4 linked regions of the Tamandua tetradactyla genome follow. The protein of the gene in region 1 interacts with the protein of each later gene in a pairwise test. Links are inferred from orthologs where the notes say so. Each region holds a gene or a part of one and is shown on either strand. Other genes may lie near its edges. The genes, in order: CCDC102B, ENKD1, GOPC and SPG21.

Region 1 (6,965 bases):
AATTCCTCCAGTGAAGGCTAATTAACTTACAGAAGGCGTTTAAATAATAGATAGCAGGTTTTATACATGATGGCATTGAAATCCTTTATATATATATGTATTATATACATTTATATATATATATACACACACACAGATGAACACACAAATACACATGCACACATATATCCCAAAATCCCATGATATAGTAAGGTAAGGCAATATTTTTGTTTCATTAGAAACATTAAGACACATAAAAGAAGAAACTGATTGCTGTTTCTGATGCTAGTCCTATTTTACTTTGAGAAAAACTAAACTAATATGTTTAAGGTTTGGATATGTAAGGGGGAAAAGTGTTAATAGACTATATTATTTTTACTTTGAATACCTCATAATCTGTATTAGGTACTTTGCAAACAGATTTTATATATACTCTTCACCAATTGAAATAAAGCATATATGATACTTTTCATTGATAATAACTTAGTCCCTCCTTAATTTTAGGAGCACATGGTCACTAAGTCTTCATTCGTATCAAGCATGATAAACAATCAAAGGAAGACCAACGTATTCCCAAAGTATTCCCAGTATCATACCCAGTCACTTCATTGATTTCATTTGTGAATAATGTTCAGTGAAAATCAATAATAGACAGTTTTTTGTTGTTGTTGAGACAGCAAAAGAGATCTCCTTTGAATACAACATCTAAGAAAATAAGAGAAAAGCCTAAGGGTTGAATATTGCAGCAGCTAATTTAAATGTAAAAGCCTCTCCTTATTTCCAGTATCAACTTCTCTCTCTTTCCCAAAGAGAGTAGTGGACCCCTTCGGAGAACTGTGACTAGCTCAGACTTACCAAGGGTTGGGATTCACCTTCAGATGGTGGCCTCTGTGCCTCCTCCCTTTTACCCCAGACTCATTGCAAACCAGTCCGCTTCACTTCTGCCAGGTTCACACTCAGGCACCAGAGCTGTAGAGTGAAAGTAGCTCTGCAGCCAGGAAGACATGGTTCTGAGTCCTGGCTCCAAAACTTACTACAGTTGTGGGTTTAAATAAATCATTTAATGTGTCTGAACAGATTCCTTCATGTGTCAGATGAAGATTATGTGTGAAATGTTCAGTTTACTGCACAGTTATAAAACCTGTAGATATGTATACATATGTAAATCAACATGCACATGTATGCAAGTCAACTTGCAGATGGGAAGTATGTTCATAATGATGATGATGATGATAAAAAGGGGAACAGGCACTTCATATCTAAAGACAGTTACGCTGTGTATATTTGAAGACACTCCACAAATTTGCCCCATTCGGGCTACTTAGCACAGTGCCTGCTACTGCAGAAATATATATTTTCTTCTCCAAGCCGGCTGATCATTCACCATCTTTCCCCATTTTATGGAAATTCATGCCTCAAACCCTTTTCTCTAACTACTTCACCAAAGTAGAATATTCTTTTTCCTTCTCATCAGCTATACAAGTTCCACTGATTTTTCAAGACTCACCTCAAGAAGTCAGACCTCTCTTTCATAGCTTCTCAAATTTCTCTAGCCCTAAAATCCACGCTAAAAGGGAATATTTGAAGATTTTGGCCTTATGGCAGCGTCCAATTACCTTGTAATAACAAAATGGGAGAAATGATACTTAAATCAAGATGGTCTGAGATCATTTTTCATGTTTTTAAGAGTTATTGGCATTATCCTTGTCACTCAAAGACTTAGATGAAGACCCTCATAAAGTCACTTGAGGCCAAGTCAATTTGAGTTCTCAAGAAGGTACACCCCCAATCAGGCAATTACTGAATCCAATGTAAACATATAAAGAACGCAATAGAGAGATGATGAAATGATCTGTTATTTCATAAGAAAACTATTTCTTCAAGAGTTCTTGAAAAAATTCAAAAAACAAAGAATTTTTCTAAACACTGTTCAGATTTTAATGGTTTAAAATGATGTTGCAAAATCACATGAAGTTTATACATCTAATATATCACTAGCTTTTCAAGATTCCTTTATATGGGGAAAAAAGTCAAAGTTCAAGATTATTTTAATGTATCTGTGAGAACATTTATTGAAAACAAAAGGATTTATTCACAAAAAATCTAATCAAAGATTTTATCAACACCCCTCTCCCATCAAAAAGATAATCAAAAACATATCCCCATGTTTTTAGAAAAAAAGAAAAACCAATGTTGATATATCTGAAAATAGCCAGCACATCATTGTGTATTCAATGTCATATGCTATTTACATATTTCTAATTGCAATTTTTTTGTCTTAAAAATATTTTCCTTATATTTCCACTTGATAGACTTACCTACTCAACATTCATGTTATAGTTTATTTTTCAAAACCATCAGCAAATACTTCCCAATGATTTCCAGCATTTTTCCCCTTCATTTCTGTAGTTGTTTTCTATATAAATGTCCATTTCCTATAGATGATGTGTAGGATATTATTTTGTATCCCTGTCTCTTCCACATATCCAAGTTATTTATGTATAGAAATCAATATTAGTGCTAAATCTGAAGTATAGCTTTCTGTTAACAATGACAAGAATTCAACATGAGGATAGTAAAATTAAAATAACTCAGTGCATGGAGCATGAACATGAGGATTTACATAACAATTTTACTTTTTTACTGTAAGAATACAGATTACTTCAAACACATTTATTAACCCTTAATCATTTGAAACTAAAAACAAGGTTTTAATAGCAACATATTATATTACTGTCTAAATTTAGAGTTGAAATTCTTACCTGAGTTTGTTTAGCATATAGTTATTTTTTAAAGGCAGGAAATATATAACATGCTGTCAGGATAAATAACACCAACAGTGGGAAAAAAAGGAAAGGTAAGGGATGAGATCAAGTCCACTTTAAAAAGAAATTCCAATCCTTCTGTTTCACAGACCAACAGCAGTTCTGTTCCGCCTCTTATAAGCAACTGTCTTTTTCCTTGCTCAGAAAACAACACATGCTCTACCCCAGCAGGAAAGTATAAAAATTAAATAGAAAACCACAAGGTTATTAAACACTCTTACCCTCTGGGCTTGCTGGGCTGCTCTAACGTCTCAGTGTTACAGACACATGTGTAAACAACAGAATTTCCTGCATCCTTTTCTCATCTGTATAGCTCTGGGGTCCTGGCCAACGAGATTATTTCCTAAACTAAGGCCACTCCACAGAAACTCAAAAAAGGATTCCTATTGGTTATGAAGATTTATCACAACCGATACCTTAACACCCTTTTTTGGAACACAAGCGAACATATCAAATTAAAATCATTTTTAATGTCTCCTAACTAAGCATGGTTATCCAAATTTTTTCATTCAATTCATTTGACACTATGTGCTATGAGTGAAAAAGGAAGAAACGACCCGTACCTTTAATCACAAGTTTGTTTCATGTTTAACAATAGGCAAAACTTGTAATAGAAAAATTAAAATGCCAAAACAAAGAAAAGCTATTAAAGTATCTTATCTGCAAAAGATTTAAAGCAAGATTATACTGCAGATCACAGAAATAATAGAAAATGCAATGTGCCTGATCTAATTTTGTTTTGATTGTCCAGCAAAAAGGAAAAAAGAAACAGCATTTAATAAAATATTCACATATGCAAATCATGGTTCAAAAATTATATGTCAAAACACTTGATCTCAGTCATGTTGGCAGGAATTATGAATTCAAGTCTCTAGGGCCTCCAGTGAGAGCTCTCTGGCTGCTTTCCCTGGGGGAAAAACAGAGTAGTTTTTCCAGTGACATGACTCAGCTGTCAGGAAGTGTACTGATGAAGGGGTGAGGGCAGACCACATAAAAGAAAACTTCCCTGGTTAAAACCAACAATAGAAAATGCTCAAAGAAATAGGGAGAGGGCAGAGGAAAAGAAACCAGTATGCTTCTTTTAAGTAGCAGGAAAACAGCATTGGAAAGACAGAATATATGTCCTCTCCCAATAGTCGTCATTGATTAACAATTCTATCATCTATTTCTTCTGAATAGCTACCTTCCCTCCTGATTTTTCTGATGCCATGGAAAGGATGACCATTCTTGGTATAAAACAATCAGTCCTTTGGAGTTCAGGTTCCCTTTCTCCCATCTTCTCAGCTTTCCTGTATCTTTGAATGCTCCCTCTTGATTGGATTTTCCCAATGAGATTTTTAGACACAGTTAAATCCTTCAGCCAAAAACAAACAAAACAGGCTTCCCTTGATCTCATTTTCACTTCCAGGTCCCATTTTCCTGTCCTTCATGGTCAAATGATTGAAAGAGCGCTCTTCTTATTTAATCTACTTTCAACCCCCATCACTGCACCAAGATGCCTCTTCCTGAAAATACACACGTACACCACACAGGGGGATAAAAAAAAACACTTTTTTTTTATACTTCATAGACTCCTCTCTGTCCTCAGTCCTCTTAGCATCTACACAGCCTCTGATGCTGTTGACCACCAGTCTATAAGAAGACACTCCTTTCTTGGCTTTGATGAAAACTCCCTCTCTTGGCACAATACTCTCTTGGTCTTCCTCTTGACCAGTCTTGCTGTGTCTTCTCACTCTTTAGCGGTGCCCTTTCTCCTTTCATGCCTTGGTGTACATCAATACCTTGTTCTCATCTAAATCCATATCCTCCTCTGGTGATTTTAATTGCCATCTCTTTTTCAGAAGACTCCAAATATCTACAGTTGGACCCAATCCTCTTCAGAGAGTTCCACACTTACATATATCTGCACAGTGTACACTTCTACTTGAAAATACCATAGATATGTCAAAGTGAACAAGTCTAAAGCTGAAGTCACCAATTTTTCCATGGACCTGCTGTGCTTATATCAATACGGCCAAGCCAATCTTACAATTTCTTAAAGAAAACTCCTGAAGTCATCCTTGACTCCTTCTATTCTATGTCCAGTAAGTGTCTTTTGGTTTTACTTCATTAATTTACTCAGTACTTTCTCTTTCCACTGCCATCTACAGTGATTCAGGGCACCAGCATACTCTGCCTGAACCAGTGCAGTGTCTTCATGAGTTGTTTGCCTGCCCCAAACTTGTTCCTCTCTGTTTTTAGTAAAGTTACAGAGTAGTTCCAGTGGTATGAGTCTAGTTCAGTGGCCTATTTCCAGTACTCTTACTGGTCTAAATCTCTGAAGATTTCCTACTTAATTAGTTAGCTAGCTTATTTACATAATAAACTTTATTTTTAAACAGTTTTAGATTTACAGCTTTATCTTCACAAAACATTCTTTGGGTTACCAGAACACTATTCTGATTTATATGTTTCCATCTTACTAACCATTTCAGGTCCTGAACACCATCCTTTATTACTAGCCTCTCTTTTTGATGGTGCAATAGCTCCAAGCGTCTATCATTGGTCCTTCTCTTACGCACATCTTCTCTTCAGGTGATCACATCTGTTTTTGTGGCTTCTTTTGTCATACATACAATTCCCAAATCTACATGACCAGCCCAAAGCAGTTTATCAAGCTTCAGATCTGCATTTCTGTCTCATGAGAGTACTCACTAGGAACCACTTAATTCTCTTTACCATCTCCAAGGACTAAACCCATTATATATTTTCTAAAACCTCTATGTGTCCTGTATTCTCAATATAAAATAATGACACTACCACCCACCCAGTATTTCAAGCTAGAAACCTATCTGTCATTCCTGAATTCCCACTCTTCTTCACTCTTCAAATAACACAACTTTATAGTAAAACTTGAAAGAATTGTCTGATTCTCTCTCTCTCCACTTCATTGCCTCCCATCTCTTCTGAATCCACACTGATCAGGTTTTTGACTCACCATATCAATATTTTACTGGCAAATTTATAAATTACTGATGAGTAAAAAATTGCCTATAAAAGGAAGCATTGTCTCATTTGTAGCTTTCTCAAGTGAAGGCTATTGATTCCCCATGACCTATTTCCCTTTGGTTCAAAAAGCGTAGGAGGGCAACTGCTTATTATTTCTTATTGCCAACTCTCGTTTAAAAACTTTTGTTGATTAATATCATGGGACCAGGTGGTGCAATAGTGGCTCAGTGGCAGAATTCTCACCTGCTATGCCAGAGACTGAGTCCAATTTCCAGAGCCTGCCCATGCTGAAAAATATATAAATATATTTTATATATATATATATATATATATATCATGGGACCCACGGGTATTAGGGAAACAAAGTTATCCAGTGCCTCTATCCTAGTTCAAAGGCTGCACTGACACCACACACAAACACACACACAACCTTATCTTAACATTCCATACTCCACAACAAGCGGTGGGGGCACAGGAAAAAGAGATGAGAGAATTCAGCCTTTGAGGTTTCTTAATTTGTTGAAAAGTTCACGATATCTTAAAGCACTTAGTAGGTACCAAAGAAGAGCTGACACTTTTTTTTTAGTTGATTGCAATTCATTTTATATATTAGGTCCTCCCTGTGGATACTACTTTCCTACCCAGTCTAATTTCTCCCCTTCCTCCCTACAGAATGAATTTTGTTTTTTGTTTGGACAACATTGTCAGAAAAAAAAAAAAAAAAAACCTACACTACCCAGCTCCCCATACAGATATGCTTAGCCACGTGGCACAGCTCTGCCAGTAAACATTAGCTGATATTAGCTGATAAAATGGGCATGTTTGCAAAAACTTTTCTTTCCTGATATGGTTGACACTCCCTCTTCCATTCACCTCCTTCTTCCTTCTTTGAACAAGGATGGGAGGCTGGAGGTAGAGAAGCTATCTTAGCTTTCCTGAATTACTGTCACAGATACCACACAGGGTATTGGCATCAATAATGGGAATTTATTGGCTCATGATTTTGAACCTAGAAGAAGTCCATAATCAAGGTGTCACAAGGCAATGCTTTTTCTACAAAGTCTGCAACATTCTGGTGCTGGCTGCCAGCAAACCTTGGGTCCCTTGGTTTGTGTCCCTGACTTGCATCCCATGACGATGTCTTGTCCTTTCCTCTCGCTTCCGGGTTCCATT
Region 2 (7,956 bases), on another chromosome or scaffold:
TTGTGGCTAATGAAGTCCACACCTGGGCCTGGCCCCTGCAGGACATGGCAAACATGGAGGGGGCAGGCACACTGTGTTGTGCCTAGAGCGCCCCCAAACCTCTGCCCAACATGTTCCCAGCCCCCATGCGTCTTCTCACCTTGGCATTGGGACCTGCTGGGGTTAGGGGAAAAGTGGGGACACGGGGTGGTGGGAGCCCAGGGCCACAGCGGGAGTGTGCCCGCAGGAAATGGGCTGACTGTATCCCAGAGGCAGGGCCAGGCTCCTGGAGGGCAGGGCACAAAAGGGGGATCAGTCAGACTGATATCAAGATCTCAAGCCATAAGACCATGCCCATCTTTCTTGCTTCTCAGGAACTCTATCCCAGTCCCTATTGGCATCCCTCTTACAGAAACACTTCTCTTCAATGTTTAAACCTGTGTGAGTCTCTCATATTTTTAAGAAAACAACAAGCCACCCCTCTTTGTCTCAATCCTGCTCTAGCTATTACTTTCTCTCCCCTTCTTAGCCAAGCTTCCTGGCTCTGGCCACTCAAATTCACTGACAGCTGACCTCCATGCCCTCAAACCCAAGGGTCACTTCCTTGGTCTTATCGTCCTCAATATGATCCTCTGGAGTGCCTGGGTCTCACTTCCGAGATCCAGAATTGAATAGCCACCTGCTTCCTGTGGGTCCCCCAGCAGTCCCACAAACACTTCAGCTTTGGCACATCCACATGTGACCTTGTTTTCTTTTCTCTCAACACTGCTCTTCCTTCTGAAGTCCCTGTTCAAGGAAAGACAGAATCCTACCACCACACCCCTACCCTTCCTGCTACCCTCAGAAATAAAGGTTGAAGGTGACATATGTAGCCCTTTACGATGTCGGTCCTGCTGACTTCTTAGCCTACCTTGTGCTCTTCTTCCCTCAGTATTAATTGCACCCAGCAACCTCATTGTCCACTCGACTTTTGGCCTCAGGATGTCTACCTAGGAGGTTTTCCCTCTATGAAATGTTCTCTTCCATTCTCCTCTTGCCTAATTTCTCCTTGTCCCTTAGGATCAGTCCAGCCATTACCACTTCTGAGAAGGTCCTCAGTACTACCCCGTAGCAGGGCCAGTTATCTCTCAGTCCTCTGTCACTTAAGTTCCCTGTGATTTCTTCCCTCCCCATAACCCAGATCAGGATATAATTGTATGCTGATGGGCAAGCTTGATATTATTTCTCACTCCCCAGGCAGGTACCTGTAGCTGGGCCTTGACCCGGGACTCCACCTTGTCGTACTTGGGTGAGTGCCACAGAGCTTTCAGGGGCCTGGGCTGGCCTTGCTCGCGGCTGCGTTCCTGCTCGCGGAAGCGCCTCTGGATCTCCCTGATCCGCCTCAGGTTCTCCTTCTCATGGTCTTTGGTGTCCTTCCCTGGGGAAGAGATGCTGTAGGCCCTGCCCTACATACCCCCCATGCAATCCAGCTTTCTCCCATTCACACACAGGCCCACCCCTCCCACAGAAAGAACTACCTGACCTTTCCACCTAAGTTCCTGTCTTTACACAGTAATACTCTTCCATCCTTGACTACGTTTTACGTTTTTGTGTAATACCATCAATCATCTTGTACATACTTATCTCTTTGTTTCGTCTCCCACCTTGATCATGATGGATCCTGCTTGCCTTCACCTGTTTTTCTAGCACCTGTAAATTCTGGCCCACAGTAGGCACTCAAAAAACAGCACTGCATTAATGCATGAATGCTTGAAGCTGAGCTAGGGCTTCCCCGGGACTACCTCCTTCAGTCCTTTCCTGCGAAGAGGTAGTGGATTGTTTTCTTGCTTTTATGGTTGGGGAAACTGACTCAAGAGGGGCAGAAGCCTGTCCTAGGTCGGGGAAAGAGTGGGCGCTTTTCATTCCGCTTTAGACCTCCGATTCGACTCGTCTGGCTGTCCCTTCTTCCCCCTTCCCGGGACCTACTCTTGAAAGGGGCCCCTGAGCCCAGAGAGATGCCCCCGAGTTGCAGCAACACGTCCCCCGCACCACGCCTGCCAGGCTCCTGTATCTTTCGAGCTCCGGGACCGATACAGGGGCCGCGGAGAAGGGCGGCATCCAGGTCGGGATCCGAAGTCAGCAGGTCCAGCTTCAGTGTATTTCCCTCCAGGCGCCCTTGGGCTGCGGGGAAGAGGGAAGGGCCCGGGAGGGAAGGAGCGCCGGGCTCAGTCTCGGAGCTGGCGCAGGCGCAGGCGCAGGCGCAGGCGCCGGCCCCGGGCCCAACCTGCCGCGGCCAGGCTCCCGACTCACCAGAGGCGGGCCGACGGTAGTAATCTGGGCAGAGCGTAGGATCCGGGGGGATGGGCCCCGAAATGCGGGACAGGCCCTCGCACATGCCGCCGCCGTTGCCCTGCAAAGGTGCACCGAGGCCTCCCGGCTGCGTATTCCCGGCCCCTGGATCCCCTCTCTAGTCCCCCGCCTCGTCCACCGACCCGGACGCTGACCCCAGCTGTGCACCCCATTCCCGGCCCCCTTCTCGTCCCGCGCCCCGCTCCTCAGTCCTGGCCCACGCTCGCCACCTCCGCGACATCCGATCGGAGCCCACTTTCCTGCCCTGTTCGCGGCCCCTCCCCCACAACACCCAAGCCGGGGTCTCACCAGAGCAGTTCTGTAGCCCGCTGTCGCGGCGACCAGGGAAGTTGCTGTTGCCTAGCAACAGTGGTTTCCGTCCCTTAGGTTAAGGGTGAGTGCTCCTGGCGCAAAGCCTTCTGGGGCTTGTAGTTGCAGTTCCAGTTGAAGGTAGGCGTAGAACGGCTGCCAGTCGCCTTTTCCAGTGCGGCACTCGCCTCCAGGCCCTTCTCTCGGGTCAGCGCGGGGTCCGCCAAACCGACCAATAGGGTCCGTCCCCGTAAGCCGCCATCGAGGATGTGCTGACCCCACGCAGTCATGGCCTCAGCAGGGGCGGAGAGGCGGCTGGGGACCCAGGAGGGAACTGCCGTGGGGCCCGCACCACTCACCCAGGCGCCGGGTCACCGTGCTAAGAGCTCTGAGGTGACCATCGGTCCTTGTAGACTTCAAATACTTAGGCCAAGGCCCCCTGGGGCATAGAGGGTCAAACTTTTGGGGATCCAGGCCCTGTAACTTCCAAGACCCGCTACACTGGTGGAAAGGGGCACATCGGTGCCTTTTATAGAGTGTCTGATATCTAAAGTCTGATTCCTGTATCCTTTGTCTAGTCGAGTGACCAATTACCTATGTGCCACATCTAGTGTACAGTGACAGGAGACCAGTGTCTGGTACCAGTCAATGAGGCTTTTTGGCCCTAGGGTGAAGACAAGTGTCCAGTGCAATCAGCCTCAGAGCCAGAGCTCCAGGAAAAGCGACTCAAGTCAGAGGAGAGGTTGAAGCCAGAGGACACCCTGGAGGAGAAAGGCCACAGGCCTATGGCCTCTCTTGTGAGGCCTGGTCAGAGTCCCAAGAGGAAGCCAGTCAAGTGAGGGGGCTTTGAGAGAGAAGGGGCTTCAGGGCTGGGGGATGGGACTGACACTCCACTAGGATTCCTAAAGCCTGCATTCCTGCAGAGTCCCCTTGTCCCCCTGAAACTTGTCCTCTTGCCACCACCACCATCATCACCCCCACTCCTTCTGTCCCTCAAGAGCCCTGGTGTAGGAAGCACCAAAAGAGGAGGAGCCTCAAGGCCTTGGAGGGGACTGAGTTCACATGAGCTCTGAGCCCTGGTCCAGCCTGGGGCCTCACTGACCAGGAAAGGAGAGTTATCTGATCCTGGGTAGTGGGTAAGGAGGGCAATCCCTAGATCCTGGGCATGGGAGCCAGCGGGTGGAGATGCCACCTCAGGCCTCCTGTCCCTGGCTCTGGTACCCCAGCCTTCCAGGACCTAGTCACAATGCCCATCCTAGAGGTGAAGCTGAGATGCCACCTGGACCACTGCTGCAGAGGGAGGAGCCAGAGGGCAGCCAGAGCGAACTCTCACCATCTGCCAAACAGCATAAAAAAGTCAAGAAGCGCAAGAGTCTGGGGGCTCCAGCACACCCAGCTGCAGCCAGCACAGTGTCTGCACCTTCAGAGACCTTGAGGCTGGAGCGTGAGTGGCAGCCTCTGGGCCTCCCCTTTTACCCCTGCTTACTAGGTTGCCTGACATGGCACACCTTGGCGCTCCAGCCTCTTCCCTGCCCCGGGTCCTTGCAGGAAAAGCCCAGCGTCTGCGGCCCCTGTACCAGTACATCAATTATTACAATCCTGAGCTGAACCAGGGAGGGGAGGGGGACAGGGAGACGGAGGCTGAGGTGGAGCCTGACTCAGAGTTGGCCATAGTCCCTGAAGAGGCAGGAGTGGAGCAACTGCAGGCCTTGCTGCCCGTGGCAGGTGAGCTCAGCTCAGGCCTTGCTTTGCCCTGCCCCAGTACATTAGTGGCCCCCACCCATGCCCTGGCTCTCCTGGCAGAGGAGGCTGGAGAGGAGTCTGGGTGTGTACCCAGCTTGAAGTCCTGCAGCCAGCTGAAGGCTGAGGTGGATAAATCGACCCAGGTGGACATCGACAAGATGCTGAGTGTTTGTGCTGCTCCACTTGTGCCCCCACTATCTCCTCAGTACAAGTGACTATCCCACCCCACTGGTGGCTGCCACTCCCCCAAGAGCAGCAGCCTGTGGGCCTAGGCCCTCAGGAAGAATCGGGGGAGGGGAATTCGGCTCCTGACCACACTTGCTGGACCTTGGGTTCGCTGACAATAAAAATTTTTCGTTTTCTCAGACTTTGTGATTCCCCAAATAAGACAACTGAAGAGGGAAAGAGGCTGGGAAGAAGGGTGAGAGGATTCCCCAGTGTATGCTCTGAAGCCTTACTGGTCACCTGGATCACTTGGGAACTTAACAAATACAGATTTCCGGGTGCTATGCAGACTTAACTGAAATCAGAATCTGCAGGGTGGGGCTTGGGTTCCATATATTTAAAAGTTCCTCAGATGAATCTGCTGGTCAGGGAAGCTGCAGAGGGAGGCTGCAGAGAGGGAGGGAAATAAGGAGAACTTGGGGCAGAGAAAGGTAAGGGTCAGTAAGGCAAGCAGGTGCTTGGCCTTACCCCGTTTTCCAGGGAGGGGGCCTGCATTTGTTCTGACCTTAAGGGGACCAGCACTTGTGATCTCCTCCCACCCCCTGTGAGGTCGCAGAGTTCATTTGCCTGCCCCTCCGGTAGCTGGCTTTAGAACACTTTCCACACATTGCAAGACTAGAGCTGGACCAGACCTTGCCCAAGGAGTGGTCCCTGGTGCCAGAGGCGTTGGTGCCTTTTTCCTGGTAGGGAGGGACTTATGAGGTGAATTATGTCTCCCCAAGAGACTTGTTCAAGTCCTGGTCCCATGAACATGACCTTATTTGGAAACAGTGCAGATAGAATTACATCAGGCTAAGGTCATACTGGAGTAGGGCAGACCTCTAACCCACTATGACTGGTGTCCTTATAAGAAGAGAGAGAACACAGAAGATGGCCATGTGGAGACAGAGGCAGAGACTGTAGTGATGCAGCTACAAGCCAAGGAACACCAAGGATTGCCAGCAACCACCAGAAGCTAGAAAAGGCAAGGAAGGATTCTTGTCTACAGGTTTCAGAGGGAGCATGGCCCTGCTTACACTTTATTTTGGAACTATGAGATAATAAATTCCTATTGTTTTAAGCCACCCAGTTTGTGGTACTTTTTATGGCAGCCCAAGAAACTAAGAGGGGGTGGTGGTGGATGTGAATGTCTTTCCAGGAATCCTGCAGCCAAACCATCAATGAATGCTGCTTCCAGCCTTCTGGAGCCTCTGGAAAGAGCTGGCCATTATGATCATTTTGGGAACCCTCACATTCTGCTGCCTCCTGGTCTTCTGGTGTATCCCCCAGACACCTTAGATGCAGGGAACTCCAAATTAAATGAATAATTTCTTCTCTTTCTAACCTGCCTTTTCTCCTGCATTTCATCTTCACAGTTGTTCTAGCCCAAAATCCTGGATGTTGTCTCAGACTCAACCCTGCTCTCTGACTCTTACAATCAGGCATTAAGGCCAGAGAATCTACCTTCTCAGATTGAGAACCTCTCAGAACCCACAGACAGCACCCTTGTTGAGGACACTGTCATCTCCTGGAGAAAGTCTCACTTTCCCCATCAGTCCATTCAGTGATCCTACTACACATGCACCTGAACCCCTGATAGTATGACTCCCCTCTAGCATCTGCCTCTTTTGCCCCGGTTGCCTCAAAACTTTTCAGTGGCTTACTCTAATTCCCTGACCAGCCCCATCTTTTCTTACCTGCATGTAGGGCTTCCCCTGCCCCTCACCCCTTCACCTGGCTCAGGGCACTCACTTCCTGCATGGCCAGGCAGTGTCCAGTGTTGCCTCTGCATTATAACATCTACATACTAGTGCCATTGACTAGACTGTGAACTCCCAAAGGCAACAACATTGTTGCATTACATCTGCCTAGCAGAGGGTACCCACAAGGGCTGCAAGATTGGGAGACTAAGATGAGGAGCTGAGGGAGCTGCAGAGTCAGATCAGGATCTGAAAGGCTGAGGCTATCCGAAGTCCAGAACCATGTGTAGCACCCCTGGAATAATGGCCTGATTAGGTCATCAGAAGGCATGAGGTAGGCAGGCCCAGGTAGAGGAAGGAGGAAGGAAAAGTACATGGTCTCCTTTCCTAGCATCATCCCATGCTGCTCCCTCCTTTGTGGGTTTCTTGGATGCTTACTGGTCCTATGCAAGGCCAAAGGGCAGGCCATGCAGTCAGGATATTCATTCTACTTTCTGCCCAGTTTTCCTTAGTGCAATGAGTTGACCCTCCCAGGAGAAAATGTCCTGAGACTCAATTTTATCCACAGGGCTGAGCTCAGATCCTCAGGATTTTCCAGAGGTAGAGGGCCCTTCAAGATAATGGAGCTTGACCTCCTCACTCTATGGCTAAAGAAGTATCTGGGCAGAAGCAGCCTTTGTATGAGACCCCACCCTGGGATCCAGTGAGGCCTGTCCTTCCCTGAGTCCTGCAGAACATATGGGCCTGAGGGTTCTCTCCTAAGACCTGATCCCAAGAAGGCCAAGAATTGGCTTTCTCTGTGTGGTATGGACAAGGCCAGCACCGACAAGGAAGTTCCAGTCCCTGACCTTCCTACAGATGAGGTAAGAAATACCCCAAGGTGATCATAGAAGAGAAAACAGTCTACATTTACTGGTAAGCTATTACCTGGCAAGCTTGTCTAAATAGGGGTTGGTGTCGTGAGCCACAGAAAGGAACAAGTCCCTACCCACTACTGATCCTAGAAGCTCACTCTAGAGAAAATGCTGAGGCAGAATGATTCAAGGAGACACATGTCACAAGGAGAGCCAAGAACCAAGGCTATGGGTCCACAGGTGATGGGGTGACTGCCACTTTGCTTGGGGGAGGAGAAGAAATGGTCAAGATAACCCCCCGGCTGAGTCCTGAGGGGGAAGATTTGAGTAGCCTTCCAGATGATATGTGAGGGATGAAGGCTGCCAGTGTGGGAGAAGCCAGCTCCATACAGGAGGGCTGCATAAGCGTGGATGAAGGAGAGGGCATGGCCATCAAGAGTCCAGGTTTGGCCAGTCTAGGAGTGACAAGGAGTGATGAGAAGGGGTGTATGCAAAGGGGGATCTGAATTTTGGAAAGGTTGCTTGGGCTGTGGTGTGAAGGATAGAATGGGGGAGGGAGAGAGGACAGGGAGGTGGGGAGGCTGCTGTCATTGTCTGGGTTAGTACAAGATCTAGATTTGGTTTGGGATTGGAGAATAAGCAACAGGTACTTCAGAAGTTCTCTTCAGGTTGCTGTGTTAGAGGGAATAACTAAGAGGGTTACTGCATTATCACCGACCTGGAATAACTTTGACAGGAGTTGGCTGCTATCCTTAAAATTTAGGAAATAGGTCCCAGGAAGTGATGCTGCCTTCCTCCAGGAGGGGGTGCTGCAGGACAAGGCTGGAGCCATTTAAGGG
Region 3 (7,951 bases), on another chromosome or scaffold:
GGCACCACCTCAAAATATCCTAAATTCTCTGCCTTCTCCTACCCTTTTCCCCAAGCATAACTTACGGCAAGAAGCAGAGGCAAGGATGTCATTTTTATATAACTTTGAATCGTAACTTTTTTTTTTGGCAGTAAAACTGTTTAAATATTTATATTAAGCTCAGTTTTTACAGAGACACAATGACAGGGCAGTAGAAGGGGCAATCTGGAAGGATACTCAAGACCAATTTAAATATATTATAAATCACCCACACTGACTGTATCTGTGTTTTGATTATATAAAAATATTATATTGCAGTAATATGGTTTAAGGAATTAATTTATAAAATTACTGAACTCTGGCACACATTTATTTTATCAAACCATAAGTGGCCTCAAATACTGTCTTAATGTCCTCATACTTAAATCAACAGAACTAAATTCAATTGTCTACTAGAAATAAAATAGGGCAAGAAGCTATGGGAATCTTTTCTAAGTATCAAGACCTCAGAAGATTGATAACACTATATGCAGCAACCCCTGAAATTCTGCAGATGGTTACAGCAGCAGATCTACTTTGAAAGGCACTGTGACCATGAAACTCTCTCCTCAGAAATACCTGGATTGTACTATGAAAGGGGAAAATTGCTAAATTTGGAAAGATCAACACAACAGACAGGTAAGTCAACTGTAACCAGAAAATAAACCAAAAAAAAAGAACAAATCAAGTTAAATCTCTTCTCTTCCTATTTTCTAAGACCTATACCCCAAGGGTTTCAAGCACGTTGAAAAAACAGGCTCATCTGTGATATGCTAACATTTCTTTTTTTTGAGAAATAATACTACCCACTTAGCCAGGACAAGGAGTCAGCATATGCAATTATAAATTCTGAAAGAAAAAAAGAGCATGCATTAACGTATTACAGCTTTGAATACTCATTTAAAATGTTTAAAGATAAAAAAAATTAAGCACCACCTCCTACTGACAGAATGAGCCCTTCTCCAAAATTAACTTTAAATCTGGCATCAAAATATCACTGTTAAAAGTTTCCTTAAATCGTTTTTAAAAATTAGACATTGTTTAATTTTTTTATAAGCTGTTTATCTTCAGTAGATCCTTGTAAAAATAATATGAAAAGTTCTAATACAGCAAAAGCTACTCTTGCTATGTTATTTAAGGCTGAAGTACTAGTTCTAAAAACCCTCAAACAGAATTTCACTACTTGAAAAACTATCTTCTAGAAATCACTACTAATCAAAAAATCAAGACATTTCATTTACCTAGAATAAGAAGTGATTACTTTCACATGCATTCCAATCTTCCCAAAAAAGGATGCAAGAAATTAACAGTCATTCAGCAAAGAGCCAGAAAATCATGAATATGCAAATCAACACTAAGCAAAGGTTAATTATGCCAGTTTTAAAAATGACTGAGAGAAAGAGAATGCTGACCACTAAGCAAAGAGAAGATGTATATATGATATTCATATTGCTTTGGATCTAATGGGCACTCTCAACTATTACAACTGATAGCAATGATGATTTCTTGGAAAGCTAATGTTTAAAAAGTTTTGCACATCACTGATTATCCCATTATTATGTAATTAAAAATGAAAGACCAATTCTCTCATTTAAATTGCTTAATTAGAAAATGCTCTTTATATAAAGTCAACCTGTCATGATTTCTAATTATTGTAATAATGCCTGAAAATTTTCTGCATCTGGTAGGCTTTTTTTTTTTGTAACCACCACCGTTCCACCCATATTCACTCTCTAGTTTAGAGAGTTCACCGAATGATCATTGTTCACTCACTCTCAAAAACAAATGCAGACTTTGGGAAATACAGTAAAATTCAAACGTATAAACCTCACTGTTAGAAGTCATCTGAATGACCGCTGGGAGCTCAGGAGATATCTGCCTGCAATTTAAGGACCAACTGTGGATGTAAACCGAGAAAGGCAATGATACCATCGTATTTATGCCACTAAACTTTCCTAAGAGCTTTGATCAAATTCTCCCTAAATAGTCCATGCATGCAGGAACTAGTATGTCCGTGTGCGACCATTGATGCTGATCTGGAATAGTTAAAATAAAAGTAATTAGGGCTCTATTTGGGTGGTGGATATATAAACCTGGGCTCATCAATGGGAAAATAGAGAAGCAAACCTCAAATGTCAAAAGCTGTTCTAACAGTCTTTGGGCTTAAGTCTTAGGTTGTTAATATAAAACGTACAAGGGTGGCTGGTGTAATTAGTTCCCGTTTCCTGCTCATTAAGGTACAAGATAAGATAGGTGACCGACACGTAGGTTTACACCCCTCATTTTCCCCTACCTTACCGCCCTCCTTTCCTCCACACACCGACACATCGAAGCCCAGTTGTCCCAGTGGGCAGTTTTCTGGGGTCCTTTCACTGGTGCGTCTAAATGAGATCTGACGCCACCGGGGCAGCCTGGGGTGAAGGCCGCCCCCGCCAGCGCCCGCAGCTCACCTCCAGCTTGTGGTTGATTTGGGACACAGTCTGGGCTTTGTGGCAGAGCTGCGCAAAGCAAGAGCTCAGGCTGGTCATCTTCTGTCGCCCCTCATAAGTGATGTCCGCCTGGTCCGGATCGATCTCGCCCAGGAGCAGATCCACATCGACGAAGGCCTTGTCGAACTCCTTCTCCAACACCTCGAGCCATCGGAACATGGATACCCCGCCGGGGGAGACCCCCACGGCGCAGGAGGCGCCCCCCGGGCCCCCACCGGCACCCGCCGGGCACGGGCCGCCCGTCGACATGGCGCCGTCGAGGGCCTCCCCCGCCTGCTGCTGACTCCTGCGCGAGGAGAACTGCTGGGACTGCGGAGACCCCCGCGCACGCACGCTCTGTGGGGTCACTCCTTCCCCTCGCGGGGCCAAAGCCGGCAATGCAGCCGCCGAGGGGCAAGACCTAGGAGGCTGAGGCGGCGACCGTGGCACACGGAAGACACGACCCGTCCCACCTCCCTGCCCGCCGCCGCTGCGCATGCGTAGCCAAGAGCCCGGCGGCCGGGAAGGACGAGGTGGGCGGGGCTAGGAGGCGACGTTGGCCTATGAAAGGCCTCTGCCCGGCCTGTCAGCGGCCATCTTGAGGACTGGCAAACTCCAGCTTGGGTCCGCGAGTAGTAGGCGCGCGGTGTGTGCTTCCAAGCTGGAAAGGCCCGAGGAAGAGAAGCGTATCCACGTCGTAGGAAGGAACGGCCCCACCGGTTTGATTTCACAGTGGACAAAAGCCGTTCTAAAATCGTCCGGGAAAGTGGCGTCCGGGGGCGGGAAAAGGAGAGCGAGGAATGGCGGTGTGAGCATGCGCAATGGCCACGTTTCCCCTTTTCCTCTCCAGTTCCTGCTTAGGTTTGGTGGGTGGGGTGGACGGACACATTGGCGCGTTTTGGTTAAATAGGCCCTAAATACTGTGTGGGCACTGCCTAATGCCGGGTTGGCGGAGAGTGGCTGAGTAGGTGTTGCTGAATAAAGAGACCTTTGTATCTCCTGTGTAAGAGACAGGCAGGCCTGAGTTCAAATGTTACACCCTGCCACATCCTAGTTGCACCACCGTGGTTGTATTTTTTAACCTCAAAGTCTCTGTTTCCAAAATTTATTTCACTCAGTAGTAAGGTAAAACGCTTAGCACCAGTGCTTGACGCATGGCGTTAGCTTTTATTTTTACACCACAGGTCACACATTTCTAAAGCAACTATTTTAAAAAGTGTACGTTGTTGAAGGAATCACGTTTTATCATTTAAAAAACTGGTAATATTCTTGCACAGAGCATTTCAGTAAAACGAAGCAATTGACGTGCATGACCATAAGGAATGGCTTTTTTCCACTTACCGTTTTAACTCAACCTGGTGATTTCTTTTTGAAACCATATTTTGGGTTACAAAATGTGTGATTTGTGTTATATATATAAAATATATATATATGAAAATCAATCGCAGTACTTTTACTGTCATATATTAAATTGAATGGGAACAAAGCAATCAAAGGCATTAGAGTACTATATTTAGTGTTACTTCTTGTTCTTAAGGAATATTCATATATTCATAAATATATTGAATGCCAAACCCTGTGGAGGCATTGGGAACACATATGACCCTCACTCGAGCAGAGGTCATAGACTTGTGAGGCTACTAATCTTCACAGTTACAACTTTAATATGATTTTTGCAGTACTTTTGCAACTGTTTAGCAACTGCTTTCTCATCCCCTTTCATTTCAAGAGTCGCCCTGCCCTGGACAGAGAAAGAGAAACCAGTCTGATTTGAACAGACTTGTAGGAACTGTCTCTACTGCATTATGTAGGAGAATATTTTTCTGGCTAACTACAGACTTGTCCCTGATCTGTTGACGGGACAGATAGTTCCAATCAATCATCATGCAAAACCCACACTGTGTGACTCGCACCAAAACCAAGACGGAGCAAAAAAAAATCACAGCTGTAGTTTGCTCTCTGGGTATACTACAGGCCAGGCTGATAAGTATCTAGCTACATCATTGCCTTATCTTGACCTACTCTGGAATTGTATATAAGCTCAATACTTGTGGGATTTATTTTCCAGATATAATGAAGTCGTCATACTACTAATTAGATTGGCAGAAACCTCCATGAACTGTCTCATGAATCATGCTTATGTGATTTTTTTGAAATTGTGAAATTCTAATATAACTTAAATGTGCAGACTTGTTTTAAGGAACTTATAACTACAGAGTTTTGCCACAAAGTATTACTAGGAATAAACAAAGTGGGAACTGAGGAAACTGGGGGAAGAGAGTCCTGTGGCTCTAGCAAACTTAGCTAAGCAGAACTAACCTGGAAATCCTTGCCCTGAGCTTAAATGCACAACTTCATACAGGTTTTCATAGGCAATGAATAATATAAAACTAAAATTTGCATCTTACTCCCAAAATTATTTTCCATTATTTCAGTATTTTCATCTGCAGTACTCACAAAGACATCACTACAACATGTCCTGGCCAACTTCTCTACAGATAATGTAGTTAGCAATGGATTTTCAGGAATTTGAAGTAAATAATTTCAAAATGGACAAAGGGCATATACATGGAGTCACAATACTAATGATAGTAGCTATCAGTTATTGAGTTCTCATTATGTGGTAGGCATTTGTACTATTTGTTTACATGTTTGATCATTTTGTCACTTTTCTAGCTGAGTTACAGTGAGTCTAAGACAAACAGTAATTGAACTGAGATCTCAGTCTAGGTGCCTTTTTCTCCAGAGCCTTTGCCATCAACTGTGGGGAATAGGGGGATTAAGAAAATCCATTTCTTTGTCCCCAGAATAACAAAATGACAAATCAGTCCAAAAGGAAAATAATCTCTTCCCAATTATAAGCCAATTACAAATCTATTAACATCTAAGAAGAAATTACAAAAATACTGCCAACATTACTTATGGACCTACACAAAATACATTTCATTTCTTTTAAGAATAAATCATTCAACTTTTTGCTGTACTATGTGAGTATGGCCAGACAGCATCAAAAGTGTACATGTGTCCAGTGCCCTAATTGTTGGTGATTACCCCTTTTTCAGGATTTCAGAACCTGGTCCTATTTCATTTACAATGTTTAAAGTTCCAATAAGTCACACCCCTGTCCCTCAGGATATTTTCATTCCTTATTGTCCTTTCTCATTACCACGTCTACGTGTTTGCCGTCTTGGTAGTATGTGACTACTTGTTATCTGCCCTTTATGTAAACTTGTTATCTGCCCACATTGGGATTTTATAATTCTGCATATTGCAGCCAAACTATAACGTGAAAAAGTAGGTTTTAACGTTCAAGTGCTGCCATCTGTTGTCAGTGTGCTCTAGCTGCATCATTGCCTTATCTTGACCTACTCTGGAATCGTATATAAGCTCAATACTTGTGGGATTTATTTTCCAAATATAATGAAGTCATCATACTACTAATTAGATTGGCAGAAACCTCCACGAACTGTCTCATGTATAATGCTTATGTGATTTTTTTGAAATTATGAAATTCTAATATAACTTAAATGTACAGACTTGTTTTAAGGAACTTATAACTCCAGAGTTTTGCCACAAAGTATTACTAGGAATAAACAGGGTGGGAACTAAGGAAACTGGGGGAAGAAAGAAAATGTTAAAAATTCATTTGGTAGATACAGGTCATTAGCTGTGGTTCAAACATTTATAGAGTACCATGAAATGCAAAGGCACAGGAATGAATAAAGAAACATATAAGATCCACCCAGGAGTGGAGACGGAGGGAAACTGCCATTTATTGAACTCTAATGTGTCCAGACCCTGTACTAAGCTTCACACATTTCATTTAATTTCCAGTAACCAGGAGAAAGGAAAATTAATCCAAGAGTCAAGAATTAATATTCAATGATGGCCTATCATATAGGAAAATTTTTATGAGGCAATTTACATTCATTATCTCCTTAACAACACTTTGGGAAATGTAGCATTATTTACATTTTACAAATGGGGCAACTAGTCCTCGGAGAAGTTATAGTTGCAGGTAAGCAGCCAAGTCCACATCAGGCTGGTTATATAGCTAACATAGCCACTTCCTGGGAGTGTGAATTTAAGGATATTGCCTAACTTCTAGCATCTGTTTCCTTATCTATAAAACAAGGAATGTAATGGTATGTCTCTTACAGGGTTGATGTGAGGATTAAATGATTTAAGGAATACAAAGCACCACCCTACCGAGGACCTGGCAAATAGCAAGTGAAAGAATCGTAAATACATATATTACATAACCAATTTTATGTGGTCTTTACGTGTCTAAACATCCCAAGTCTGAGCCTCTCTCCTTTGTGGGAGTATCTTTTAAGGTCTCTGTTCTAGTTTGCTAGCTGCCAGAATGCAATATACCAGAAACGGAGTGGCTTTTAAAAGGGGAATTTATTAAGTTGCAAGTTTACAGTTCTAAGGCCATGAAGATGTCCCAATTAAGCAAGTCTATAAAATGTCCAAATTAGGACATCAGGGAAAGATACCTTGTTTCAAGAAGGCAGGTGACGTTAGGGTTTCTCTCTCACCTGGAAGGGCACATGGTGACATCTGCTAACTTTCTCTCCAGGTTTCTTGTTTCATGAAGCTCCCCCAGGGCTATATTACTTCTTCATCTCCAAAGTTCTCTGGCTGCCTGGGCTCTGTGGTTCTCATGGCTCTCTCCAAAATGTTTCCTCTTTTAAAGGATTCCAGTAAACTATTGAAAACCCACCTGGAATAAATGGAGTCACATCTCCCTCTAATCAAAGGCTAATACCCACAATTGGGCGCGTCACATGTCCATGGAGATAATCTCATCAAATTTCCAGTCTACAGTGCTGAATAGGGATTGAAAGAAACAGCTGCCTCCTCAAAATGATCAGGATTAAAAAATGGCTTTTCTAGGGCACAGAATCCTTTCAAACCAGCACAGTCTCCATTTTTCCTTTTCTGGGCCTCTGTGTGTCTCTGCAGTTCTTTCTGTGTCCCCCTGTTTATCTCTGCCCTCTTTTCTCCCATTGGCTCTCTTCCTGATATAACCGACTAAAAAGACATGAAATATATATGTATCTGTTGCAATTATCAAATAATGTTATATGTTCTTTGTTATTAGTTATAAAATGATGAAAATGAAATGTACTATCTTTTACCCATATTATTTCCTTGATTTTTCCCTGTATTATCCCCTTGATTTTATTTTCTCCTGTTTTTAAGGGATTCCTGATAAATAATGTTTCTGTACTCCTGTGATGGACAGTACATAATAAAGAGGAAAAGGTAAATATGTTTCTTTGTTCCATAAAAATAAGGGTTTTTTTTTCTGAAAAGTTCAGGGTAAGACAGTTTTTTGTTGTTGTTGTTGTTAAAAACACATAAAATACTAATGGACTATTTTAAGGCGCCTTATGATCACACCTCTGTGTAAAAAAATTATCTTTGGAGAATATGTAAAATTTCATATAATAATG
Region 4 (7,774 bases), on another chromosome or scaffold:
AGGCATCAACTGGAAGGACTGGAAGCAATCACTACTGGCTTTGCACGCTGCCCCCTGCCCCTGGGGCAAGCCTGGCTTCCCCTGCAGGGCTAAGAGGAATTCCAGACTCTAGAACTTAACTCATGGGCTGACCCAGAACTGTCATTTTAGAGGGTGTTCTCAGGACTGGCAAGGAGCACAGGACTCTAAACTCAATGGAACGCATCTTTCTTGGCCTTCCAGATCTATACTCTAAAGAACACAGGGCCCTTGGGGTCTCTACTGTTACCTCTAACCTTGGAGGATTACTAAACAACCCCCTGGAAGATGGTGAATCTAGACATTCCTAAACTACACTTGACCTACAACCTATACACTGTAATAATAATGCTCTTGTCTCTAAAGGCTAACAGGGTACTTTCAGAAAAACTCATTAAAATTGTAAGTTGCTCTGAAGTACTTTGCTAAAAATCAGGGAGCAAATTCGATTCCCGGTGCCTGCCCATACCAAGAAATAAAAAAATAAAAAAATAAGGGAGCATAAATGCAGTTATTAGTCATAATGAAATAAAATCCCTCTTTGCATAGCCATTTAAAAATCTTGCTCAATATTATTAACATGTTAAAACATTTAAACCATCTGAACAAACTCTAGCCTCTCTCTAAGCTGGCTATTGTTTTTTAATTGAAAAGAACTAACACATAAATAGATAGTCCTGGAATATTTTTAACCCTGACACAGATGTGAAATGCTCCCATATCACACAAATACTTTATAATGAAGACATTTCCTAGTACAGCATTACTAGAAACAATTACTCTATTCTACAGGAGGGAACATAAAAAACATGCTTAGCCAATAAGATTTACTAAACAGTTAAAAAAGCAAATCTTAGCTAATTAAAGGCAGAAAGTTTGCTTCTAAATCCTCCAAACTGAGATAAAATAAGTTAATCATAGTTTGGGACTCATTTGCTATGTACAATCAAACTACAATACAAAGACACACACACACGATGCACAGTCTCACGAACTCAGACACGCGCTTCTTCCCCACAGCAAAAGTAGGAAGATGCTCCTTACCAATAGTCCTCAGGGTTATTCCCAGCCAAGTCAATGTTCTAATATTTTATAACTAATCTTGCAGGATGGAGAGATTCCACCCAACTGTGACTGAATTTTTGTAGAGACAAGTGATTCTAGCACTTGTCCTAGTCTGGCAGTACATGAAAGGTTAAACAGATACCAAATGTTGCAGCTGACCAACTGATGTCTAAAGGCGAAAAAAGCTCACTGCTGCAAAGAAAAGCAGCTGGGAGCAGTATGAAAAGGAAAGTTGTTCTCCCAGATCTCTTTCATCCACTCCAAAGGCGTATACTTTTCCAAGTCACAAGAGGAACATTCTGTAGATGGCAAAGAAGGTTAAGTGAGATTGTCATTGAACTGGTCAGTATTAACCAAGAAAGAATGAGGATCGCTGGGTTCAACTCTGAGTTGACCTCTCAAGATTCAACTCTTCAGAAAAACAAAAGCACCTGTTCGTGCTGGTGGGGAAAAGGCCACCTAGATTAGCCTCAATTTTGTGATAGGAAACCCCTTCTCCGGTTGTGCAATGGAAATGCACTCCTCTCCAGTCCTTGGGCTGTTCCACAACAAAACTGCCAGGTTGTGACTGTGCGCCAGACAGTACACGCACCTATCCCTCAGAATCTCAACAGAACCTTCCAGTTTGCAGGCAATCAAATTGCCCTCACAAGTGTTTAAGAAGTCTCAGAACCAGCTTATCTAGTGAGAGGCTTCCAACCTTTATTGCACTCTTTAGTTGATTTACATATGGATAATCTGTATTATTAACACCAGCAATAACAAAATAATAGAACCCAAGAGTTTCTAGGCAATGCATTAGCTTTTTAGTGTAAGCCTCCATGCTTAGCCACATCAGTACACCGCTATCCTTGTTTTAAGATCTCTTCCAGTAAGATTAGTCTCTCTTTTCTTCAGGAACCTATTTCATTATCTTCTATACCTCGTGGGGGGGAAAGCTACCTACTTGGCATCTCCTCTGTGACACCTCATCTTGTGCTCTATCTTGGTGTAAAAGCTTTGAGAATTTAGACACAGCTATTAAGTTACTCCTAAGTCTCTTGAATTTTTGTACCAATAAGAGCTGGACCATTGTAGGTGGAGACAAAGCAGCAGCATAAATACAGAACTTGTGAAAACAACTCCCCAGAAAAACAAAAAGAAGAAAAGTGACATTTTAGCCCTGCTATTCTTCTCATCCCCCATTCATAAGCGTCACACCTGGGTGGTACTCAGCAATGACAAAGACATTTGTACTTTCAGGCTGAGATAGAATCTCCAAAATAACTGGCGTCTGCTCAGAGTTCTTAAAAGTTTACTAAAAAAAAAAAAAAAAACTGTTCCTGGGCTGCAGATGTGTAGCTCCAGGATGGGTTTGCAGGAAGATGCCCTGTGCAAACCCCTCCAGGCGACCCATAACACCAGCCAACCTCACCCGGTTCCACCGGTGACAGCCACACAAAGGCAGGGTCACAGGCCCACCTACGACCCTTCTGAGCCCTGGCTTGGCCTCAGAGAAAGGCAGACACACACACATATACACATACACACATACATACACACCCACACAAACACACACACGGAAGTGCTATCACGTGCACGATCACATGGACCGGCCCACTCGGGGCTACATTCACAATCATACCGACCAAGGCAAGCGCGCACACTTACATACACCCACAATCTCACACTCAATAGAGACCCATACCACCACCTCCCAGGGCCTTGCCCACCCCTCACCTGCCGTGTCCGCCCCCACGACCCTTTTCCTCCCCAAAGCGGCTCTTCGCTACAATACCCGAGTGAGCTGGAGGAGCGGCTGGCCCGGAGTCCGGGCCCGCAGCCGGGACACCCAGGACTAGAAGCGGCGGCGGGCGGCGGGGGCGTGCAGGAGGGCAGGCCTCCGAGGGGCGGGGCGCGCAGCCCTCCCGACTGTCCCCGTAGCGGGCGCGCGCCTGGCGCTTCCGGGTTCAGCGGCGGGGGAGGGATACGTCACGGGGAAGGGGCGGGGGCTCGGGGGTCTCCATGGCGACGGGGCCCCCGATAGGCGGGGCTTGAGCTCAGTCTGAACTCCCGGAGTTCTCGGTTCCGCGGGTGCGTGCGGGAACCTGCCGTAGGATTAGCGGTGGTGGTCGGCGCGGAGAGGAAATCTGATTGCCTTTGAGTCTAGCTTTTGAGACGTGAGCACCAAGGAGGAAGTTGTGAGAGAGGGAGAAGGGGGTGTCCGGCCTCCTGGAACCTGCTTCTGCATTTCGTTCGCGCACACCTGGAGGAAGAAGATGCCTACTGTTCCCTCTCCTCTGTGTGAAGATTTGAGGGGATCCCCGGGGCTCCAGGTTTTGGTGACCAGGGCTTTGTATACTCTCTTCTTGCCTAGTTCTTTTTTTTTTTTTTTCTTTCCTTGTTACAATCACAGACACCCTCCATAACCTTCTACTGTAACGCTCCCTTCCCTTCCAGCCCTAATCTGGCAGCCCGGGGAATTTCCGGGAATTTAGTTCCACAGAGCCTCCCTCACCTTCTTCACTGCGGTTTTAAGAGCAGAGAATATGAATTCATTTATGATCACTTTTTAAACAAGAGGTTGCAGAGGCCGAAACAGCCCTTTTCAGTAAAATATTTGCAGATTTGCACTGAAATAATATGAAGATTAAGTAGCATGTAAATCTACCCGTTTGAAGTTATTTAGAGATAGTGCAACAAGATCCTGTTAAAAGTGCTTCTCCCTAATCTGTTTTAGGGAGAGCGTGTCTCCTATTTAAATGGACCTTCGAACTTTGACCTGATCCAGACAAGTGTTCATGGGATTTAGGTCAGGGGAGAGTCCTAAATTCCATGCTGAGTCATGATCTCTGCCCTCCCGCTCAGGAAGCTTTAGTTCCAGTCTAGAACTTGGACAAACCCCAGGAATTTCCCAAGAGCAGGATAATCTCTCCTGGTTTTCTACAAATCATCTCTTTCGGAATTGCAAGCCAGTCACAGGAAGTAATCCTTTATTATAAACACCATATAGGTGTATGGGGCATGTTTCCAAGAAGGATTTTTAACCTTGGAGGTTTTTTCTCAAAATGTGGGAGTATTTTAGTGAATGGAAAAACTGGCAAGTCACTGGATATATGGAAAACCCATTGCAGGCACTCATTACATTAGTTATTGGTGTATCTCCCCAGCTGGGCTGGGAGCTTAACACATGGTCTGGCCCATAAAAGTTACTAAATGTATACTGAATGAATGAATGAGTGAAAAAATAAATCTATCCACATGTAGTCCTAAAACTGTATTCCTTAGATCCCCCATCCCCAGACCTTACTTTAATAATTGCCCTAATGAGAACTCAGCTATGAATATGCCCATACATATGCCTCTGTCTCTTTATATAATATACAAACACATCCTTATTCTGTTAGGTGGGTAATAACTAACAAATAATGGGGTTTTTTTTAATGTTTCCTATAGAAAATGACCCTATGCTCATGTTTGGGTCCTCAGTTGTTCTAGAACACATGGCAAGCAGATTGTCCATTTGCTAATATGAACAAGGAACATTTAATATCTGTGAATTCCAGCTGTCCTATTAACGCACAACTGCGGACAGCAAACTTTTGACCCACGGCACACAGTGAAGCAGACCTTGTGGACCAGGCTGTGAGGGTTTGCAGCTGTTGTGTTTGGGGTCTGCCAGATGGTTCCCTCAGCACCAATCCCTGTGCTAGACTCACACTGAACAACTGGAATGTTCATGAAATATGCTGTGAACACCAGGCAAAATAAATAGATGGCCAGCTGGCTCAGAACTGCCCAAGCCTCTTAACTGATCCCTTGAAAACAGTTTTAAATCTCACCTACAAAACAATACTAGATATACTCTGTGCACACATACACATAAGTAAATGCATTTTTTAAAAGGTTGGGAAGAATACACATTTAATAGAATAGTGGTTACCTCTGAGGAGGATTTTGGTATGGAAGGAGTGGTAAAGGAGCACTTTGGCTTTATATTTAGTATTTGAATCTATGTAAGAATGATTCATATATTGTGTGATTAAAAAAATTAAAAGTACCTATATTTTTGTGTGACTCCCCTGCTTTCAATCCTTCAATTGCTCCCCACTGCCTTCAGCTAAACTTCAAGCTCCACTGGGCTATCGATGGGATCATGTGATCTCATCACAACAACTCTTTGAACATCCCCAAACACTTCATTTGGTCTCAAACCTCTATAGACTTTTGTGTGTATATTCTTCCCCCTCTAAGAATGCCTCCCTTTACTCAACCCAATAGAATGAATAATCCTATTTTACCTCCAGGAACTACAGATGCGTGAAAAAGTGAAAGAGAAACAAAACACTGATTTTTCAGACTAACCCAGTTCTTAAAATATCTTGTAAAATCTTCTCAGGGTACAATTAACTATATGTTATATACCAGTTATGCCGGGACCCATGAAATGAAATACTGCTTCTTCATGGCCAGACCAAGTCTGGGTCAAATGCATATCGCACCGTATTATAGGGATCATACACAGATATATCTGGAACCACCCAAGAAAGATGCTGACATGGTTATTCTATAGCTTGCTAACTGAAGAGCCTATCAAACAGAAGTTATATATAGTTATCATAATTACTGATTTAGTTCTGATGCAAGAGTTAACAAACCTGAGTTCTCTTCTTTCCTCTTTCTACATCTGGTTTCCTTATCTGTAAAATGAGGCCAAGGTTGACCCATATGATTTCCAAGTTCTTTCTAATTATAAAATTTTAGAGTCTATAAATCTAGGAGACTTATTGAATATTTACAATGGCTGGCCCTCAAAGCTTCCCTTCTCTGATAATCTCCCCTCTCCTGCTTCCAATAAAACTTTAAAGAATTAACCTGCACACAAAAATGACTATTTAATGGAAACAGTATTTGAACTTCTTGGCGATGTTAATGTTTGTTCATTATCGACCTTTCTCTCTTTTTTTTTTTTTTAAAGCTTTATGGATTACTTTTTCCCAAGAATTGGTCAAAGACACTATCCTTTGTAACAACTTTTTTTTTTCATGGGCAGGTACTGGGAATTGAACCCGGGTCTCTGGCATGGCAAGGGAGAACTCTGCCACTGAGCCACCACTGCCCGCCCCATTATTAACCTTTTAAAATGAAATTTCCTAAGCAACTTCTAAAAATAAAAAGTTCCTAAGCAAAGGTACAGCTTTTGTAGCATCTGCCAACTCAGTATCTCATTAAGGATCCTTTCCTAAATGCTAATGCTTTAGTTTGCCTTTTGGAGGAAGCACAGCAAAAAAGAATCCTGGAAAACAAGAGTGCACTGTTTTACCACAAAAAGCAGCAGTCTTTCGGCAGGTTTCTACAACGTATTATTAATTCTTCAGGTAAAAAAAGACAGTGATTAAATAGTGACTAAAATAAGAAAAATCTCTTTGAAACCACCTAGCACAGAACCTGTATAATGGGTACTCAATTAACTAACGTGTTCTCATTTCTCAGTTTCTGAATATCAAACCCTAAGACATTAAACTCCCTGATCAAGGATGAAAATATTTCCAAATACAGATAGGGGAGTAGAATGGTCAGACTACCAGGGGGTCAGTTCTAGCTCCATCACTTACTAGGTATTTATTTAACCTTTTTTGTACCTAAGTTATCTCATCTGAAAAAATGAGGAAATTCTACTATCGCAGGGTAACTGTAAAAATAAAATAACGACTGTTCATGTCATGTCTTAGACATGTGGCCAGTACTCAATAAAAGTATTAGCTAATAGTATTATTAAGAATCTGCTGTGTTCCAGGCACTGTGCTAGACACATTACATATATTATTTCTGTTCCTCATGACAATCCTTGCATAATAGGTATGACTTTCATTTTGTGGATAAGGAAGCAGACTCAAAAGAAGTTAAGTAAACAGCTTAGGCTTATGATCAGAGGGGAGAATCATGGTTCACATTAGATCTGTCTGACTCAAAGACTCTGCCTCTAAAGATAGTATAAAGAGAAATAGTTTTGAACTGCCTTCAATACAAAGTATAAAAGCAATAAACATCCTTTCAAGAGCCATTCTTGAAAACTAAATTTTACACTCAGAAACATCTTTTATCCCCCAAACCAAACCAAAAGTAAAATCTTTTTAAAAAATAGAACGGGGGGGGGGGGGCAAGGGTAGTTCAGTGGAAGAATTCTCACCTGCCATGAAGGAGACCCAGGTTCAATTCCCAGTCCATGTACTTCCCAAAAAACAAACAATAATTCAACAAATGGGGCTGCAATAATGGGATACTCATTTGGCAAAATAATGAAATGTGAACATGCCATACAGCATACAAAACAAACAAACAAACAAAAAAAACCCAGAACAAAAAAACCAACAATCTACTGTAGTTTCTGGGTTCTTAGACTGGTGTTACTAGCTAACTGTTCCCAGACCCCATTTTATCATTGCTATAATGAAATTTTGGGCTACTAAATAATAGATCCTTTACTGTTCTAAAATCATTTTTCCTTCTGTTAGACCAAGGCTCTTGCTGCCATCCAGAGGAGAAAATATTGTTGCAGGTCCAAAGCAGAGACTACAGCAGTATCAGACTGTTGACAATTTATTGAGTGTTTATGTGCAGGCATTGCCTTGTGCATTTTCCATGTCTATTTCTCTCCCATAAGGCATATTTTTAAACTAAGAAATCAGAATTTTAAAAGTTTAAGTAATCT

The links.
Region 2: the proteins of CCDC102B (region 1) and ENKD1 interact in binary tests that used the Homo sapiens proteins (3 or more experiments, as listed by UniProt). The two-hybrid records come from large-scale screens. The link is inferred for Tamandua tetradactyla from reciprocal best matches to the Homo sapiens genes CCDC102B and ENKD1.
Region 3: the proteins of CCDC102B (region 1) and GOPC interact in binary tests that used the Homo sapiens proteins (3 or more experiments, as listed by UniProt). The two-hybrid records come from large-scale screens. The link is inferred for Tamandua tetradactyla from reciprocal best matches to the Homo sapiens genes CCDC102B and GOPC.
Region 4: the proteins of CCDC102B (region 1) and SPG21 interact in binary tests that used the Homo sapiens proteins (3 or more experiments, as listed by UniProt). The two-hybrid records come from large-scale screens. The link is inferred for Tamandua tetradactyla from reciprocal best matches to the Homo sapiens genes CCDC102B and SPG21.

What each region holds. Positions count from the first base shown.
Region 1 is NC_135344.1:13,477,655-13,484,619, forward strand, and holds the start of CCDC102B (coiled-coil domain-containing protein 102B), read right to left. Parts: upstream 3,018-6,965; 5' UTR 2,759-3,017; coding exon 2,742-2,758; intron 1,200-2,741; exon of another isoform or gene 835-1,199; intron 1-834. UniProt on the Homo sapiens protein: During interphase, forms fibers at the proximal ends of centrioles to maintain centrosome cohesion. During mitosis, dissociates from the centrosome following phosphorylation to allow centrosome separation. Contributes to CROCC/rootletin filament formation.
Region 2 is NC_135342.1:61,397,948-61,405,903, forward strand, and holds the start of ENKD1 (enkurin domain-containing protein 1), read right to left. Parts: upstream 3,018-7,956; 5' UTR 3,010-3,017; coding exon of another isoform or gene 2,905-3,009; 5' UTR 2,617-2,904; intron 2,369-2,616; 5' UTR 2,354-2,368; coding exon 2,269-2,353; intron 2,140-2,268; coding exon 1,945-2,139; intron 1,397-1,944; coding exon 1,224-1,396; intron 266-1,223; coding exon 140-265; exon of another isoform or gene 36-139; coding exon 1-35. Other genes in the region: C16H16orf86 (uncharacterized protein C16orf86 homolog), read left to right, coding at 2,905-3,009, 3,285-3,451, 3,843-4,060, 4,138-4,574. UniProt on the Homo sapiens protein: Microtubule-binding protein which regulates microtubule organization and stability. Promotes the stability of astral microtubules and facilitates the proper orientation of the mitotic spindle.
Region 3 is NC_135331.1:178,461,181-178,469,131, forward strand, and holds the start of GOPC (Golgi-associated PDZ and coiled-coil motif-containing protein), read right to left. Parts: upstream 3,001-7,951; 5' UTR 2,985-3,000; coding exon 2,469-2,984; intron 1-2,468.
Region 4 is NC_135340.1:81,792,699-81,800,472, forward strand, and holds the start of SPG21 (maspardin), read right to left. Parts: upstream 3,013-7,774; 5' UTR 2,803-3,012; intron 2,366-2,802; exon of another isoform or gene 2,284-2,365; intron 1-2,283. UniProt on the Homo sapiens protein: May play a role as a negative regulatory factor in CD4-dependent T-cell activation.